3 linked regions of the Arabidopsis thaliana genome follow. The protein of the gene in region 1 interacts with the protein of each later gene in a pairwise test. Each region holds a gene or a part of one and is shown in the gene's direction. Other genes may lie near its edges.

The links. Proteins that work in one complex are often made in the same cells at the same time.
Region 2: the proteins of AT4G03420 (region 1) and BME3 interact in a two-hybrid assay, tested with the Arabidopsis thaliana proteins (one large-scale study listed by BioGRID).
Region 3: the proteins of AT4G03420 (region 1) and AT3G56320 interact in a two-hybrid assay, tested with the Arabidopsis thaliana proteins (one large-scale study listed by BioGRID).

The regions. Positions count from the first base shown.
Region 1 is NC_003075.7:1,509,303-1,515,203, forward strand, and holds AT4G03420 (hypothetical protein (DUF789)), read left to right. Parts: upstream 1-2,294; 5' UTR 2,295-2,923; coding exon 2,924-3,004; intron 3,005-3,082; coding exon 3,083-3,303; intron 3,304-3,414; coding exon 3,415-3,619; intron 3,620-3,779; coding exon 3,780-3,957; intron 3,958-4,044; coding exon 4,045-4,292; 3' UTR 4,293-4,770; downstream 4,771-5,901.
Region 2 is NC_003074.8:20,293,742-20,299,327, forward strand, and holds BME3 (Plant-specific GATA-type zinc finger transcription factor family protein), read left to right. Parts: upstream 1-2,388; 5' UTR 2,389-2,658; intron 2,659-2,674; exon of another isoform or gene 2,675-2,923; intron 2,924-3,187; 5' UTR 3,188-3,215; coding exon 3,216-3,443; intron 3,444-3,754; coding exon 3,755-4,495; 3' UTR 4,496-5,086; downstream 5,087-5,586. UniProt on the Arabidopsis thaliana protein: Transcriptional activator that specifically binds 5'-GATA-3' or 5'-GAT-3' motifs within gene promoters. May be involved in the regulation of some light-responsive genes.
Region 3 is NC_003074.8:20,885,394-20,892,255, reverse strand, and holds AT3G56320 (PAP/OAS1 substrate-binding domain superfamily), read left to right. Parts: upstream 1-2,452; 5' UTR 2,453-2,760; intron 2,761-2,953; exon of another isoform or gene 2,954-3,037; 5' UTR 3,038-3,106; exon of another isoform or gene 3,107-3,302; intron 3,303-3,548; 5' UTR 3,549-3,631; coding exon 3,632-3,877; intron 3,878-3,961; coding exon 3,962-4,141; intron 4,142-4,230; coding exon 4,231-4,323; intron 4,324-4,428; coding exon 4,429-4,611; intron 4,612-4,689; coding exon 4,690-4,792; intron 4,793-4,891; coding exon 4,892-5,074; intron 5,075-5,149; coding exon 5,150-5,631; intron 5,632-5,721; coding exon 5,722-6,063; 3' UTR 6,064-6,362; downstream 6,363-6,862. Other genes in the region: AT3G56330 (N2,N2-dimethylguanosine tRNA methyltransferase), read right to left, coding at 323-427, 521-583, 672-972, 1,066-1,266, 1,375-2,006; AT3G56310 (Melibiase family protein), read right to left, coding at 6,511-6,762, 6,857-6,862.

The DNA.
Region 1 (5,901 bases):
ATACAAGATAAAAAACCATTTTTAGACCCAAAAAAAAAAATAGGTTAAAATATAAAATAAAAATGGTGGAGTAAGATATTGTAATTTTATTAAACAAAACTGTTGTAATGTTAAAAATTATGTAGGTGTTGAATAATGATGTGGTAGAAAGAAAAGATGATGTGGAGTGTTAAAAGTGAAAAAGTGGGTGTTGTAAATGAGTAACCATTGTAGATAAATAGTCTAATGATTAATTTTGCCAACAATGATTATCTCAACTTCAGGGATAAACCGGCCTAAATTTTAGATTTGAGTTTGATCACTTATGTGTGTTATGTCTGCATGCCTAATAAGAAGTATTATGACCAACAAATATTCAATGTCAGTGTAATCCAAATTTAGCAAAGCAATGTAAATGAGCTGCATATTATATGTTAAATATTGTGTGTACTCGTGTTCTTGTTTTTACATCATCAGTTACTAATTCTAAATCCGAAATTCCATCTACATACGTAGATCAATCAAAGTTGTCCTAAGAGGAGGCCTTGTGAGTCTCATTGGGTTTTACAGAAATCGTCGGACCTATTTGGGCTCAAACATATAAAAGATCCAAGATACTGGATTTAGGCCCAAACTCTTTTCTCAATACGATAGGATCCAAATCTTTTTGTAGCTGTGGAATGTGGTGGATAACAAATAACGTCACTTGGTAAAAATCCAACATTTTAGATTCAGCCATCGGTCGTACAACGTCACTCTCATCAACTTCTTTTTCAGTTCCCCAAATCACGATGATCGCTTAGTCATCACACCCATCTAGCATCCCGCCGTCAGATAAACCGGTCATTTACCCTTACCAACATACCGGTTTTCTCAATTTACAAATTCGGTTTGATAAATATCAATAGATTAGGTAAATAGAAATTAAGTTAATTCGGCACGTGTCACGAAAACTACCACATGGCGCAAAGGCCAAAACCACAAAATTCAGAAAAGTTGGTATGCTTCCACGTAATTGACATTTTTCACGTGATTTGCTTGTGACTACTGATGTTACAATTAGTAGACGTACCGTTCAATAACGTGATATTTATTAGAGATTATTGATTTGCATAATTAGTTACAAAATCACACGTCACAACCATTTTTCCCCAATATTACGTCCAAAACTGTTGATTCGTTTGATTTTTATTGTCCGTCCAATGACTATTTCGATTTATTATAACTTCTTGTGTTAGTAAATAGTAATTCAAGTCTATATATACTCTTATATCATAAATTAGGAAAAGTAAGTACTGTATACGATCATTGTATCTAATAAAATATGAAATATGCGAGCAATAACGGCCAAATAGAGCGTAACTTCAGTTTTTTTTGTGATACCTAGTTTTAAATACCCTAAACATCAAGTTACCTCAAATTGGCAAAACCTAATTTTGCTGAAATTGAAAGAAAAATAATATATTTTTATTTCTATATTTGACTTCATTTAAATATTATTTTCGAAATAAATATTTACCTACGATTGATTTTATCAACCAGTTGAACGAATAATCTTCTTTTTTGTATGTTAAGGTGCACTTATAATATATATTTCTATATATATCACATGAAAGAAAAATAAAATAATTTAAATAATAACAACTTTCAGAACTAAGTTTTTTTCATATTAATTATAAAAAATTTGTATAGTATACTATAGACTCAATAATAGTAAGTACTAAGCAGTAACCATCAATAACAATATTTTCTAGGACTAACATTTTATTTCTCTTCCTACGAACGTACCACATTGTATCATGATAGCCAATCAAAATACACAGTACTGAAACTAGTAATGATAATAAGTTAGGCAGCCTAATTATATACAACTTTTCAAATACGTCATATGAACAAATAACATTTTCCGTAATATGTACTGAAAATTTCCACGATAAAAAACAATAAAAATGCTCGATTAATGTTCTTATACACTGGCATTAACAATTCTCACAGCAAAACTACCACACTAATCACAATCTTATGCTCATGTAGTATTTTTAGACAACATTGTACATGTAGAAAGTTCTTTAACTCTTAAGTATTATCGACTAGTTTTTTTTCTAGAATGAATTTTTCTAATCGAATACTTTAAAAATAGAGTCGACGAAAGAGATTAAATATAACAAAACCAAACCACGTGAGGATCATAAGCTATGGACGAGGAAAATCGTCAAACTTTGAGATAAATTTTTGATTGATTAGGTGTTTGTTGTACTTTTTCTTATTAATATCCAGAATTCAGAACCTTCTCTTCCTCAAATCTGTCTTTATCCTTTTTAATTCAATTTTAATCTCAACTTTTCTATATTTTATCGTCTAAATTTAAAGAAAAGAAAAAACCCAAAAACAGAGGATTTTGATCAAGTAAAAGAAAGAATATTTTCTAGAGAAAGCAAATCGATTCTCTCACCTTTATATATATAACCTCTCCACCTCTGTTTCGTCTCTCAATATATATCCACTGGTCTTTCCTTTTTCCGGCAAAATTGTAACAGAACCAAAAATTACTCTGTTTTTTTTTATTTTCTTGACAAGTCTGCATTTTTCTCCTCTGTTTTGGAATTTTCTCGTTTCTGGTTTTCCGATCATAAAAAACAAACAAAACTACCGTAAAATAGGCTCTCTCCACAGAAAAAAAAGAAGACTTTTCTTTCATTCTTCTGCAAGTAACTGAGCAGATTTCGGTTTTTTCTTCTTCAAATTGATATTTTTAAAGTTATAAAAATTTCTTGTCCATAATTTCCGTTTTCCTTAAATTCAGCTGTCCTAACGTCAAATCTCAGACACTCGCTTGCGTGTCTCCCTCTCTTAAACTCTCTCTTTCTCTTTCTCTTTTGGTTTCTGGGTTATTTCAAAGAAAAGAATCAAGAAACCCCTCTTTCTCTCTTACAAGAATCCCATCATGGTGTTTGGAAAAGGGTCAAACCTTGACAGATTCCTTCATTGCACAACACCTGTAGTGCCACCCCAATCTCTATCCAAGGTTTTGAATCATTCTTTCTTTCTTCTTCTTCTTTCTTCTCTTAATGGTAATATTTAAATTGGTTGTGGATTCTGGCAGGCGGAGATTAGGAGTTTGAATAGGATTTGGCATCCATGGGAGAGACAAAAGGTTGAGTTTTTCAGATTGAGTGATCTATGGGATTGTTATGATGAATGGAGTGCTTATGGAGCTGGTGTTCCAATTCGTCTCTCTAATGGAGAATCTCTTGTTCAATATTATGTTCCCTATCTCTCTGCTATTCAGATTTTCACCTCTCGTTCTTCCTTGATCCGCTTAAGGTACCATTCATTGCTTTTTATATTGCCGCTTTGATACGTTTAGATTTTAAAGTTTGATCCTTTGATGAATCTATTGTGACTGACTCTTTTTTTTGGGTTGTTCTTGATTAGGGATGATTCTGAAGATGGGGAAAGCAGAGATTCGTTTAGTGATTCATATAGTGATGAGAGTGAAAGTGATAAACTTTCGAGATGTGCTTCTGATGAAGGACTTGAACATGACGCTCTCTTGCATCCTAATGATCGGTTGGGATATCTTTATCTGCAATACTTTGAGAGATCAGCTCCTTATGCTCGAGTTCCTCTCATGGATAAGGTAACTCAATGCAGCTTCATAAGATCAGCTTCTTTGATTACTAGGATTAGTCACTTGGTTGATTCCTAATTAGCAATAGGCGAAAAAGTATGTATGTATAGATTAGAATATATTATTATTCAAGACTTGAAATGAGACATATGATTTTGGTTGATTTCAGATCAATGAATTGGCTCAAAGGTACCCGGGACTAATGTCGTTGCGAAGCGTAGATCTTTCCCCGGCAAGTTGGATGGCGGTAGCGTGGTACCCTATTTACCATATTCCAATGGGAAGGACCATCAAAGATTTGTCCACTTGTTTCCTCACTTATCACACTCTTTCATCTTCTTTCCAAGGTACTAATCTTCTCAATCCTCTCGGATTCAAGTCCTTCGATGTGTTATATCCCGCGAATATGTAACCGTTATGGTCTTGATTTTCAGATATGGAGCCAGAAGAAAATGGCGGGGAAAAGGAGAGGATCCGGAAGGAAGGAGAAGGTGTAACTTTGCTTCCTTTTGGGTTAGCCACTTATAAGATGCAAGGCAATGTTTGGCTCTCGGAAGACGATCAAGGTCAAGATCAAGAGCGAGTTCTTTCGCTTCTAAGTGTTGCGGATTCTTGGCTAAAACAGCTAAGAGTCCAACACCATGACTTCAACTACTTCTCAAGAATGGCTCACCGTGGCTGAAACAAATCCGTTGCTATATACTGATGAGTTCAAATGTAGATTTTGTATCTCTTTTTGTTTTTCTTGTTGGTCTCAAGTGGCAAGGAGATTACTTTTTTCCCTGGTCGCAATATACCGTGTTTGTCCAGTGGTTGGAGTAGCAGTGGCAGCCGTGAAGAGGACTGAGCGTTTCCTTAACACACAAGTACAGCGGTTTCAACGTTTTGGGTGTAGAATAGCTTTAAAGTAGCATCAATGGGAGATGTCATATATTATAAGTGCTGATTTGTTGAAAAGAGTGGTTTCTTGTTTCTTGATAAACATTGATTGAGAGGGTCTTGTTCTTGTACCTCAGTAATACTTTAAAGGAGTAGCAAGTGTAACAATCTCATCATATTTGTAACTGTTTTTACCCAAATACATAAATCAAAGCTGATGATTTTTGTGTGTTTTATTGATCACTGGATCACTATAATGTGGTATTTTTGTGTGTTTTAAAGAATTGTCTATCTTTAAATCTGAATGGTGACACATTATAAATTCTGATTTATACATCATGATTTGTTCCGTTTTGAAGTAATTTTTGTTTTGAATTTTCAATATAAATATTGACATAAAATACCTAATTCAACCTCAAGTTACAAAGAATATATAACAAAACACGAAAAATCAATTAGTTGTTTTTGTAGAGGTATAATAAAATCGATCTCTATAGTGTTTTTTTTTTACTTGACACAAGAATTTTAAAAATACACTTATTGCATAACATATATTATGATGTTATTGATAATCACTTTACCAAACGGTAAAAAACGTTACAAAATATAAAGTTTTGACAGTTACTAATCACAAAAGTGTTATCAAAAATTCTATTTTTAGTTTTTTTCACAGCTTTCTTGTAGTATAATTTTTTTTATATATTGTTGCAGTATTCTGAAAAAGCTTACAGCTATAGCTAAGAGCTATTAGTTACCAATATTGTAAAAGGTATAAATTGTTGATTTATTCTGAAAATTATAATTTTTTATAAGATTTTTGTATATTTGAATATCGATTTAAAATTTAGAAAATTAGAATTAAATAGATTAACAAAATTGAAAAGACTTGTTATAAAATGGAAAAGAAAAGTGGGACCTCTGAAGACAAAAATGTCAAACATGTGACGGAGAAAAATCAAAGAACGTGGACCTTAGATTAGATTTGTAAATTGACTTGATGGAGTGTTCAGTGTTTGGTCCCTCCACCGATTTTTCTAGACACCTTCTAACTCTTTTTTGTTTACTTAAATGGAATGAATCATTTCCTAACAAATTATTTAAGTGGTCGGCACATTTCATTTTCGCGTAATAAATAGTGTACATTAATTTCAGACCAAAAATATATTACTATTATCATTACTTGCAAACAGAAACAATCTAAGAAAGTGATGTTTTTGGGTTTCTTCTCGACCTGAATTCACGTTGTCGATGTGCTGAGGACTGGATTTTCCGTTGTTTATTTGACGTCGACCAGTTTTTTTGCTTTATTTTTACACTTCATATTAGGGGGCGGGCATTCGGGTAAAGCGGGTCGGGTTCGGGTAAAATCCGATCGGGTATGCGTCTTTCAAGTAGAGAAGTTTAGGAGTTAA
Region 2 (5,586 bases), on another chromosome or scaffold:
ATATTTGTATATGTGTGTGATATGGACCAACTTTATTTAGCGTACTTGTTGAGATCATGGAAAGAAATCTTTTGAGGAGTTTAGCCTTTTTCTAATACAAAGAGTAGAATTATGCTAATATCAAGTTAAGGTTTTAGTTCTTCAATAAATTAGGATTTAATATTTTCTATTTTTATATGATTTAAGATATTCCGGGTTAAAGCAGAAGTCTTACCAAACTCATACATAGCGTTTCGTAAACAATTTAGATCAATGTCATACATGCGCTTGAGTTATTTTTATTGGACCTAAAATTTACTTGTTTAGAGAAACTAAGGTTTCCTACAAAAATGTACTCGTTTTAATCAATATTTGTTGAGATGTCTTAATCAATTTAAGATTAATGATCGAACAACACACATAAGAGAACGCCTTTTCATTTTATGCCGGAAGTTATACGAACATTTTTGGCCCCAACCATATATAGGCCGAGGTTAAAAAAATTGCATAGCATAATAAGCATGACATTAAATAAAAAAGCTTAATACATTATTTTGCTATAATACATGATAGTGACGAGATGTAATGTATATATGTATATATACACATATAGTACATGACTTTATATGTTTATTTGTTATAAATTAAAAGAAAATAACACCTACATATATAGTTTTTTTTGTCATTTGGACTTTGGAGAGTAATGGGGGAGAACTCTTTCAGAAGAAAGTGATCGTGTATGGAGTGAAGTCCAAGTTAGTTACTGAAAATATATACTAAAAAAGGGAGAAAAAATAAAAGAAAGAAAGTGAAAAAGTAGAGCCTTAGAAAATCAGCATTAAATTAAATAGGTCGATCACATCGTTTTTTTTTTTTTTTTTATTTCTTTAGAAAAGAGTGTACTTGAAGTAAGGAAGCTAAGAGTATGGTTGAAGTTAGCTTAAGAAAATGGTGATATAGAAGATAAAATCTCAAAGGAAAACTCATTGGATATGTCTAAGAATGTGGAGTTCTTTGGATTTGAATTCATTGTGTCTTCGATTTTTAGTGACTGTGCACAGTGTTCTCCACAAACTATTATATATATATATATATATATATTTTGGTAACCTAATCAAAGTTCATTTATCCATTTATTTTTATGATTTGTTGTATCATCATTGTTCAGTAAGACTAGAAACTTAGAAACAAATTCTTATGATTATATCTAACAGAAAAAAAAAATGATTAGATCAGTTTACACTTTCTTAATTATCAAGATATCGTAACAAGAAAATGATCAACCCTTCACTATATGGTTTACTTTAGTTCATCTATATATTGCCTGACTTTTTAGCTAACTAATGAAAACTAAGTTAAATTAAAAAAAAAAAAAAAATTGTTGCTTAAAGTTAAATATAATTATAATTTTTTTGAGGCCAGAATTTATATATAAAATATATATTTGTCTTTGCAACTTAGCAAGAAAACATCGTCCTAGGGGAAAAACTCATGAAGAACTTTTTATTTGGTTAACTCACAAGGAATATTTTGCTCTTCATGGATTGTAATTATACAACAAATGAAGTAATGTTAGATGTTCAAGAAACACTACATTTTACACCTATAAGAAACTATATTATTGTAATCGTGAAGTCTAGTATTTATTAAAAAAAAAAAAAGCTAGTATCTATCACTTTAAAAAAAACATAGAAGCTTTTCTTTCTCTGTGTGTATAGTAGTAAAACAAAAGAAGATACAGACTGGAGTCATGTTTCCTTAAGCCTATGAGTAATAGACTTTTATGTAGTTTAACAAAAAAAAATGGTAACATGTATTTGGAAAAAGTCTATTCTTTTACTTTGCAACACGTAGTCTAAAGAGCGAGCTTAAGCCAAAAACAATGGGAAGAAAACTAGCAAAAAAAAAGAGCAAAATAACAAAAATTAGATGATCAATAAAATATTGGAATTACATGTACGCGTAAACGTCGTATATTTTCCTTCGTGCCATTTCACCTTCCCATTATCTCATTGACTTTTCTTATCCCATATACGGTAGGAGCAAAACCATGTATGACTAGAATTATACGCGTTAAACAATTCTAGAATTTCTTACCTAAAACTAATAAATTCCGTATTTACTCTTCTAATTACGTTAACTCTTTACTTAAATGACAATTTAATGGGTTTTTTTTTTATTATCTTCCTTTACATAAATAAGCTTTGTTGAAAACATAAAAATATTGATGTAACTTTAATTTAAACCATTGATTTATAAAAACAAAAACAACTTTTTATACAGCTAAGCAAGGTTTGTGAATAAATCATCTTTGGTAAAGTCTCAATGAGATATGGAACCCACATGAGGGAGGTGAGATTACGATTTTTTTTAAAATATTTTAGAGAGAGAGAGAAGGAAAGAGACTTCCACATGAAGACAGGGTAAGGAATGGTAAAATACAGCTAGCAAAAGAAGTGTTTCTCACACCTAACTCTTTATAATAATAAGAGAGAAGCATCACCCCCATTGCTCTCCATTACTCATTTTTTTTCCCAATCAATCACTCTTCACTTCTCCCCACTCCTTACTCCTTTTTTTTTTGCCTTTCTAAGCAATCTCTCTCTTCTTCTTATATTCTCATATTTGATTCCTTTTCTCTCTCATACGATCTGCACACCACTACTAAGAACAACAGAGGTTTGATTTCCTCCTCCTCCTTCTTCATTTTTGGTTTTCTTTGGAAATTCTTGAAATTGTAATGTTTTTTTTTGGAATCTTGATGAGTTTTTGCATAAATCAAGAAGTGTCGGTGGAGGCATTTATTTCACACCAATTGTTCTGAATTCAGTTTTGTTTTAACACTCTTTTTTTTTTTGTAACTGAAAAATTTGTGTTTTCTTCTTGGTTTTCACACAAGAATTCTAGAAGATTGATAGATAAAATCAAGAATGCTTAATTAACGGTGACTTTTGACTTTTATAACCTTATAGTCTACTGTGATTTGAATTTGTACATAGAATGGTCCTCTTTATTTACTTATCAAAAAAAAAAAAAAAAATCAAAAAAGGTGGGCCAAAGAATGTTTATTTTTCAAAATTTTGATTTTTAAGGTGGTTCCAAAATTTGGTTCAAAATTTTCAAAACTTATTCAGAAACTTCCTCTGTTCAAACTCTTGTCATTTTCCTCTATAATATCATTAACCCCATCTCTCATTATTTATTCCAGCTAGAGAGACTTGCAATAATTGTAAAACATGATTGGAACAAGCTTCCCCGAGGATCTTGATTGTGGCAACTTCTTTGACAACATGGATGATCTCATGGACTTTCCCGGTGGAGATATCGATGTCGGTTTCGGCATAGGTGACTCCGACTCTTTCCCTACCATCTGGACCACTCATCACGACACGTGGCCTGCCGCTTCTGATCCTCTCTTCTCTTCCAACACCAACTCTGATTCATCACCTGAGCTCTATGTTCCGGTTAGTTCTACGCCCTCTTCGTAACGTATGATTTCAAACATTAAACCACAAGTTTCGTGAGTAATAATAAATGAAATTTTGTCATTATGGGTGGCTTTTAGTTAAGTCAAGTTTGTTTTTTTCCCGCTCATTATTTGTCTTACATTGTTTGGTTAGTTTTATGCTAACTTACGCACTCTGCTTTGTTCTGTTTTTGCCTTTGTTACCATATCACAAAGTTTCTGTTTTTATAGTTAAATGAAGTCTTTTTTTTTTGGCGCTTAATTGTTTCCCTATCTAACAATGTTTCTTTGATTGGGGTGAAATTGCAGTTTGAGGACATTGTTAAGGTGGAAAGACCTCCAAGCTTTGTAGAGGAAACATTGGTTGAGAAGAAGGAAGATTCGTTTTCGACAAACACTGATTCATCATCTTCTCATAGCCAATTCAGGAGCTCAAGTCCAGTGTCGGTTCTCGAGAGCAGCTCCTCCTCGTCTCAAACCACCAACACAACCTCCCTTGTTCTCCCTGGAAAGCACGGTCGTCCACGCACAAAACGCCCTCGTCCACCTGTCCAGGATAAAGATAGAGTCAAAGACAATGTGTGCGGTGGTGACTCGCGCCTCATCATTAGAATACCGAAACAGTTTCTCTCTGATCACAACAAGATGATCAACAAGAAGAAGAAGAAGAAGGCCAAGATTACTTCTTCCTCTTCTTCGTCCGGGATTGATCTTGAAGTCAATGGAAACAACGTCGATTCGTATTCTTCAGAGCAATATCCGCTTAGGAAATGTATGCACTGTGAGGTCACCAAGACTCCACAGTGGAGGCTTGGTCCAATGGGTCCAAAGACACTTTGCAATGCGTGCGGTGTACGTTACAAATCAGGGAGGCTTTTCCCGGAGTACCGTCCAGCTGCTAGTCCAACATTTACTCCAGCTCTTCACTCAAACTCACACAAGAAAGTGGCTGAAATGAGAAACAAGAGATGCAGTGATGGTAGCTACATAACCGAAGAGAATGATCTGCAAGGGCTGATTCCGAACAATGCCTACATTGGCGTAGACTAAAACATAGAGAAGATGATTCGATTTCCATGCGTTGAAGTGATTAGATATGCCAGGAGTAGGAAAGAGTCAGTGAGAAGAAAAGTTTTTAGCTTTAGAAGAGATGAAGGAAGAGAGCAATCAATTGGAGGGATTAAAAGTTAGATGAGAATTGATTGTGTTTGTATTATTTTGTATTTGTAGTGTGAATGGGCAAAAAACTCTTGAAACAGAGGAAAAGTAAGTTGAGGAAGAGCAGAAGATTTTGAAGACATTAGAGAATCATTAGGTGTTGAGTATTACATTAAATCTTCCTCTTCTTCTTTTGTTCTTTCAATTCTTTGTATTTTTATTGTGAGGATTCTCTTTTTTTTTCTTTTTTTTTTTGTAGTTGATTTGTTTAGCTAAAGGATTCTTTTTTTTTGTTTTTGTTAAAATCCAATGTTATAAATTGTTAATTATTAAATGGTTTTCTTACCATTGAAACTAGACATTGCTAATTACATTTTTGTTTTTGTTTTGCCGACAAGCTAAATACATGTCTAACATGACATAGTAATATTACTGGCTGATTCAAGTCTAAAATAGATTAAAAAGGTTTCTAGTTTATGAAAGTTTTTATGGTTAAGTTAGAGTTAGTGGCGAGTTTAAATCAGTGTTTTATGATACAAGCAATAATGTAAAATTAAATGGAGATGAGAGATAGAGTAACAACCACTATATCTTTTTCTAACAAGGACTTCACAAACTAGCTTTTATGTAAATCCACCCATCTATGATGCCAATTTAAAGTAAGAGTGTTTCTTAATTTAACTACCTTTCTTTCAAAACTCACTCATTTTCTTTTTCTTTCATAATTATTGAAACTAATTTTTTCAGCATATTAAATTTGCTGAACAATGATAAAACAATATGAACGAATGATTTTAGTATTTAACTTTCGTCCTCATGTAGCCATGTTGTTATTTTCAAACCATAAAGAGGACTTAAGAGTCGTCAGATAAAACAATGATATTTTCGTATTCGTCGATGCACTAATAACCAACTCGATTGGACAACATATCTTACTTCATTCACGATTTTGATGATTTCACCGAACAATTTTTTCTTTCTTT
Region 3 (6,862 bases), on another chromosome or scaffold:
CTTTTGTCTGAAATTTTTGAAGATGTTTTCTACATTTTGTTAAAGATGATTTCGCCATATTGGAGCTTTAAACGTTTCAGACCATTTTACCAGTTGATTTGACCAAGATTTTTCCTCTTTTTTGATTTTTGCAACTTCATACCTTCTTTTCAGAGAAATATTTAATGACCGAAGCTTCGCTCGTTCTTAAGCGATGCTAAGTACTTGTATCTCCCTACTTAGCATAAAGCAACAAATAATATAGTCGAGTGTTGGGTATGATTGCTTTGTAAAGTATAATCAGAGGCTTAAAAAAATCTCTAAACTTGATTATAACAAAAAGTTAACTATGCAAATTTTCCTTGGCAATCCTAACAAAATGGGACATGGGACAATCTGTTTTAAGAGCATTGGGAATAATGTGAGATCTGCTAGCAGCGTAACCCTCCTGCAAAAATCCAAGGAGCAGAGCTTTTTAACTTTGTACCTTCAGATCAGTTTCTTCAGAGATCAAAGCTGTGAGAATCTAACTACTATTTACCTTAACTAGTGCACTCATCATCTTCTTCAACGGAGGTGAGTTCATCTTCGCACGGCTCGCCATCTAATCACGAAAACAAATCTTTTATCATGTAATGTGAATGAAATGCGTCTATCTTATCAATGAAATTAAAATCATGGTTTTAGAGGACCTCATCCATTTTTGTGTATCCAGGTGGTAGTCTGGGATCACTTTCTTCAATCATTATACTGAGAAGCTTGTCCAGATCCATGCCAGTGCCTTCACTGACCCATCCCCATTCCTTTGCCAATTCCAGCATTTCCGTAACATAGGATGCATCATGAAGCGGTCCGAGCCACATTGGTCCTGACACAACCAGTGAAGAAGAAGCCTTTGTATCACTGCAGGGACATCCCATCAAACCAAGTTCATCGAATCTCAATGTATGAGAATGGCCACATAGATTACAGTGCGTGACAAAACCATAGTTCCTACAGTTAAAAGACACAAAACAACTCCAATTAGAAACGCAACATAACCAAAACTCAATTCCTTTCGAGTCAAATTCTAAATGTAGAAACAACCTGTCCTCATGTAGCTTCCCACGGTGAACCCTCAGCATGACTCTAAACACAGGTCCGTGATAAGAATAGTACGAGAAAAGAGGCGTAACATGATAACCAAGCAGAGCAGCTTCTCTCACTGCTCCACCTATAAGCATCCGCAGCCCAATCTCATTCCCAAACGGCATTGGTCGAATAAATGCTCCATAAGCTGCTAAAGAACTACACCAAAACAAACCAAGAAATTTTTCAACTTTCAATCTCCTAGTCCCTAAATCATATCATGATTCCTAAAATACCACAAAGACTAATGGTATTGCTTTCACTCACTTATAAGGTCTGTGACCACCAGAAGAGTAACCATCAGTCGACGTCAAGTAAAGCAAACCACCCAATCTCAATGCATTAAACGCATCTCTCAAAAACGAAGAATCACTTCCAAACGAATCAATATCAATCATATCGAAGAAATCCGCAACCATATATCTCTCAATCATCGCTTTATTAGCCAACATATGAGTCACAACCCATCTCCTCTCATCTCCAGTACCTCTCTCTACTTTACTCAAATTATCCGTAATCACTCTCCGATTATCATCATTTGCGTCGTTCGCCATCACGAAATCAGCTTCAGCTTCCACAAGATAACGAAGCGACCTAATTCCACATCCGCACATTGCGTCGAGTACCCGTAAGCTTCCATTAGATCTCTTGTATAGCGTCGCTGACAAAACACCGAGGTCTCGTCCTCTAGCGCTTTCATGGCGGAAAAATGTCTCTCCCGTTTCAAATTCGAGATTCCTCTCAATTTGAACCTCGGATTTCACTAAAATTCGATCAAAACTACATTTCAAGCTCTTGAATCGACATGAATCTGGAGATTTACATTTAGGGTTTTGCGATTTGTGCACAGTGAAGAAGGAAGAAGAAGATAGGGTTTTAGGAGAGAGAGTCAACAACATAGCGGGAAAAAAAAAATCTGATTGTTTTGCTTGATTTTTTTTTTTAATCGTCTATCTAAATTAGTCCGTCCGATATTATGCCACGTGTACGGAAGAGATAAAAACCTCGTATTAGTAGGCCACGTCGTCAATCTTATGATTAGTTGGGTCCCACTTGTGTAATCGTCTATACTCGAGTCCACCTAAAGATACGATACACTTTTTTCCCTTTCATGGAATTGAGTTTCTACTGTTTCTGGAATTCTGGGTTTTGGAATTTGGAGAAATTAGGGTTTTTGTTGAATCATTCAAAAACATTGACCATGAAGATCATAGAGACTAAGAGTCTCCAACAAGAATGAAGAAAATCTATTTTTTTTCTTGGGTTGAAAATTATTTGAGAGGAGCAGGTGAAGTTAATTTTTTTCTCATTGATACAAAAATGGCAGATTGTTTTAGAGTCTCCACTATTATGAACCTTCCATAATTTTTTATTTTATTTTTGCTTATATTATCCCTTAATTTTTTGTCTTGGTGATAATTCTCTTTCTCCCCTCAATTAAAAAAAAGTTTATAGTATCGGTTTCTCTTCTCCTGATCAATGAATACAAATCGGTATTCGTAAACAATCCCTTCCGTTTCATTTTACTGACTCATATCTGTTTTTATCTGGGTTTTTATTTCTTTTCCCCTTTGTGTTTCAAAAAAGTTTTTGGTGTAACGTTTATTATCCATAAGATCCAAAAAAAACTAAAGCTGGAAATTTTGTTTCGAGGTGAGATAATCTTTGCTTAATCTTTAGGAATCCAATGAATACAAGCTTAATTTGCCTCTTAATCCTCGTTATCGGAGAAAGCAAAATGATGTTTCGTGTGAATCTCGTTTTTTGATTTTTGGGGTTTTCTCTTTTGTCTTAATCCATCTTCGTGGTCCTTGTGAAGCTTAAAGATGAAAACCAAAATGTCATATTTTTTTTCGTGTGAAAATGTCGATTCGTTACAAATCTTAAACCCTGTTCCAAGTTTTGATTTTTTTTGTTTGTTTGTTAGCAGGAATTAAAGCTTCTTGAATATTCAAAGATTAGCCCAAAGAATCTCTGGACAACTGGTCTAAAACCGCAGGTACGCCTTTCACTACTTAAACCTCTCAATTTTGTCAACAAAAAAAAATGATTTTGGAAGAGACAGAGCTGAGACTTCTGAGCTAATAGTCATTTTTTCCTAAGGTATAATCATCACTCACGCAGGATAGTTTAGCTGTTTTGTTTTGTTTTCCTTTATAAATATTCGATTTTGCTCTGAGAAGCTAAACATTAGGGTACCTACCTAACACTGAATTCACTATTGGCATGCTCTGTTTCATTTTTTTATGTCTCTTGCTTAGGATGTAATCTCACTCACTCTCTGGATTAGCCTCGATTGTTCTTAATCAAATTTGGGAGCTCTAGTTATTAGACAATCAACTTTTACCTTGACTTCATTTTTTTCTTTTTCTCTGTCTAATGTGATGACAAAAAGGCCAATTTGAAATATTTTGTAATTCTGTTTGTTCTGTTGTTTGTAGATATCATAATTATATAAGGGGCTCATTGAGTTGTTGAGGATTCCTGTGTTATCACTCTGATGTTAGTTTGAAGTTATGCGCACATGGGTGAAATTCAAGAAAGATTGTCAGTTTCATCATCTTCGTCTTCTTCATCATCCTCATTGTCACTATCAACGGCACTACCTAAAGGAGATTCATTGCCGATAGATGCAGATTCTTGGATGATTGCAGAGGAGAGAGCTCATGAGATACTTTGCACTATCCAACCTGCCCTTGTTTCAGACAGAAGTAGGAATGAGATCATTGATTATGTACGAACTCTTATCATGAGTCATGAGGGAATTGAGGTTAGAAACTCCGCTTCTCTTTGCTGACATGTTAAAGATTTATGCTGTTTTGTTAACTTTCTATGGGAACTTGTTTATCTACAGGTCTTTTCATTTGGTTCAGTGCCACTAAAAACCTATCTCCCGGACGGGGATATCGATCTGACTGTCCTAACTAAGCAAAATATGGATGACGATTTTTATGGACAATTGTGCAGTAGGCTTCAGAATGAAGAAAGAGAATCTGAATTCCATGCAACAGATGTTCAGTTTATCCCTGCACAGGTCTCTTTGTTTATTTACTTTTTGGTTTCGTTTTTGTATTTTCTTGGTTGCCCAAATTTTCCTTAAGAAAGTTTGCTGATATATGATAGGTCAAGGTCATAAAATGCAATATCAGGAACATTGCTGTTGATATCTCTTTTAATCAAACGGCAGGTCTCTGTGCTTTATGTTTTCTGGAGCAGGTACTATCAGCTATTCAAAATCAGGCTCCAGAGGTTTACTAAACAGATTATTGCCTAGCTTTGATTCTTAGTTGTTGGTTAAACTCTGGTTTTATGTATTCTCAGGTTGACCAACTCTTTGGGAGAGATCATCTTTTCAAGCGTAGCATCATCCTTGTCAAAGCTTGGTGCTATTACGAGAGTCGAATTCTTGGTGCTAACACTGGATTGATCTCAACATATGCATTGGCAGTACTAGTTTTGTACATCATCAACCTGTTTCATTCATCTTTATCTGGCCCTTTAGCGGTAATCACTCTTTTTCTGAACCTTCAGCATCCTCTACATATATGCAAAAGATGAGAATATAGCATTGTCTTTCAACAGGTTCTGTATAAGTTCTTGGATTACTATGGTTCATTTGATTGGAACAACTACTGTATCAGTGTCAATGGTCCTGTGCCAATATCGTCCCTTCCAGAACTTACAGGTAAGGATGATGCCAAAAATCACAGATACTTCTCTTCGTGGCATTTTCTTGGCGCTATTTGACGTTTTAATTTGGTTCTTTCTCTTTCTATCTTTCCAGCAGCATCTCCAGAAAATGGGCATGAGTTATTACTTGACGAGAAGTTTTTAAGAAACTGTGTAGAGTTATATTCTGCTCCAACTAAAGCTGTTGACTCAAATGGTCTTGAGTTTCCTATCAAACATCTCAACATAGTTGATCCTCTAAAATACAGCAACAACCTCGGCAAAAGTGTTACACAAGGTACTCTATTGATAAAAGTTATACAACCAATATAGCAGTTGTCAAATATTAATTATTTTAAAAACATTTTGTTAGGAAATGTCCAACGAATAAGACATGCTTTTACACTTGGAGCTCGAAAGCTAAGAGATGTTCTTTCACTACCTGGTGACACCATGGGATGGAGATTGGAGAAGTTCTTTCGTAACTCTTTGGAGAGAAATGGTAAGGGACAAAGGCAAGATGTGAATGATCCCGTTACTGCTTTCGGTACTGGAAGATCAGAATTATCTGAACTTAGTGGAGATTTCGATAGTTCCTTTGGAAGACTTGTGTATGGGCAAATGTATCATGGGCATAGCTTACCTGGAACATTTCAGCATGGCTATATCCCGGTTAGTTCTCACCTGAGTGGTTGGGATATTGTTCGTCACCTTGTGACTTACCGAAAGAACGAGTTCCATCTTAGAAGTCTCAATGTATCAACCTCTATGCAGCCTTTTCCTTTGCATTCTTTACCTAATGGCTGTCAAAACATGAGAAAGACGAGAGGAACCGGCACTTATATTCCTGACATGGTATGCGATTAACCCCTTTGACGGACATTTTGGCTTAAAAATTAACTTATTGCTGCAAGCTTCTGAATTGCTTCTCAATGGTTGTTGCAGAGTCAACAGGTATACTCTGACAGGTTCAGAGAATCAGGTACTGGAACCTCATCAACGAATCATTTAGAAGCTTCCTCTGAGGCAATAGACAATGATGGAGCCAGTAGTTGCTGCAATCTTTCCGGTGAAGTGTCTACTTCTTGTACCAGTAACAAAGGAGAAGAATGTGTGAGACCAGAGAGTGTGCTGAAATCTCAAAGATCTGCGAATTTGGAGCTTGATGACAATTGCCAATTTCCACCACCAGAAAACCTAGTAGAACCTAGAACTTCAAGCACATTGGTATTGGAAAATGGCAAAGAAGAGAGTATCAGATCCTCCCAAACCATGAACGGCTCTTGACTTTTAGTGACTGTGACCGAAGCTTTGGTTGTTATCTTGACACCTTCAGGATTACTAGGTTCTCTTAACCACATGGACAAACTCTATTTAGTATTCAAAACTCTATATAGGATTCAAAAGATCCATCAGGAACTTGTTTTGACCAATGTTTCATTAGAGATCTCTTCTTCATTGTTGGTAGGTCAGAATATACAAAAGTGGTATAGATTAAGAGTTGATTTGGCATTTGTCTTTTCTTTGGAATCAAGATCCTTCAGACTTTTTATCTAAATTTTTATATGAGATTCAGTTTTACTTCTTGTCACTTCTGGCAATTTGTTTAGAGAGTGACAAACATTTAAAGTTGTCCGGGTAACAACAGGTTTCACGTTTTACAAGATACACGAGTATACAGAAACACAAAGGCAATCTCTGTTCTTTGGGATTTGAATGCCTCACAATAAAGAACTATACATCAGAGTGTGATACTGTCTGGGGAGTGAGAACGTACATATGACAGTCGTGTGCGTCAACTTGAGCTTCAAAGGAGCCAGAAGTATTCTCTGTTACATCTTTGTGCTGCCACAAATCTCTTACTGAAACGCTAATGGTAGATTCAAGACCGATCATATCCCATGATGCTGTAATAGTTGCTGGCTCAGAGCAACGGTTCCAGAGAGCAACTACCATACGGTCACCAGATAAAGGTCCTGACCACACCTGCAATGAAACAGTTATCACCAATTTGAGTCCTTGAGTTTGTTTTTTCTGCTTTCTCTATGAGTTTGATAATTCTGTGACTCCCAATTCATACCTGCTG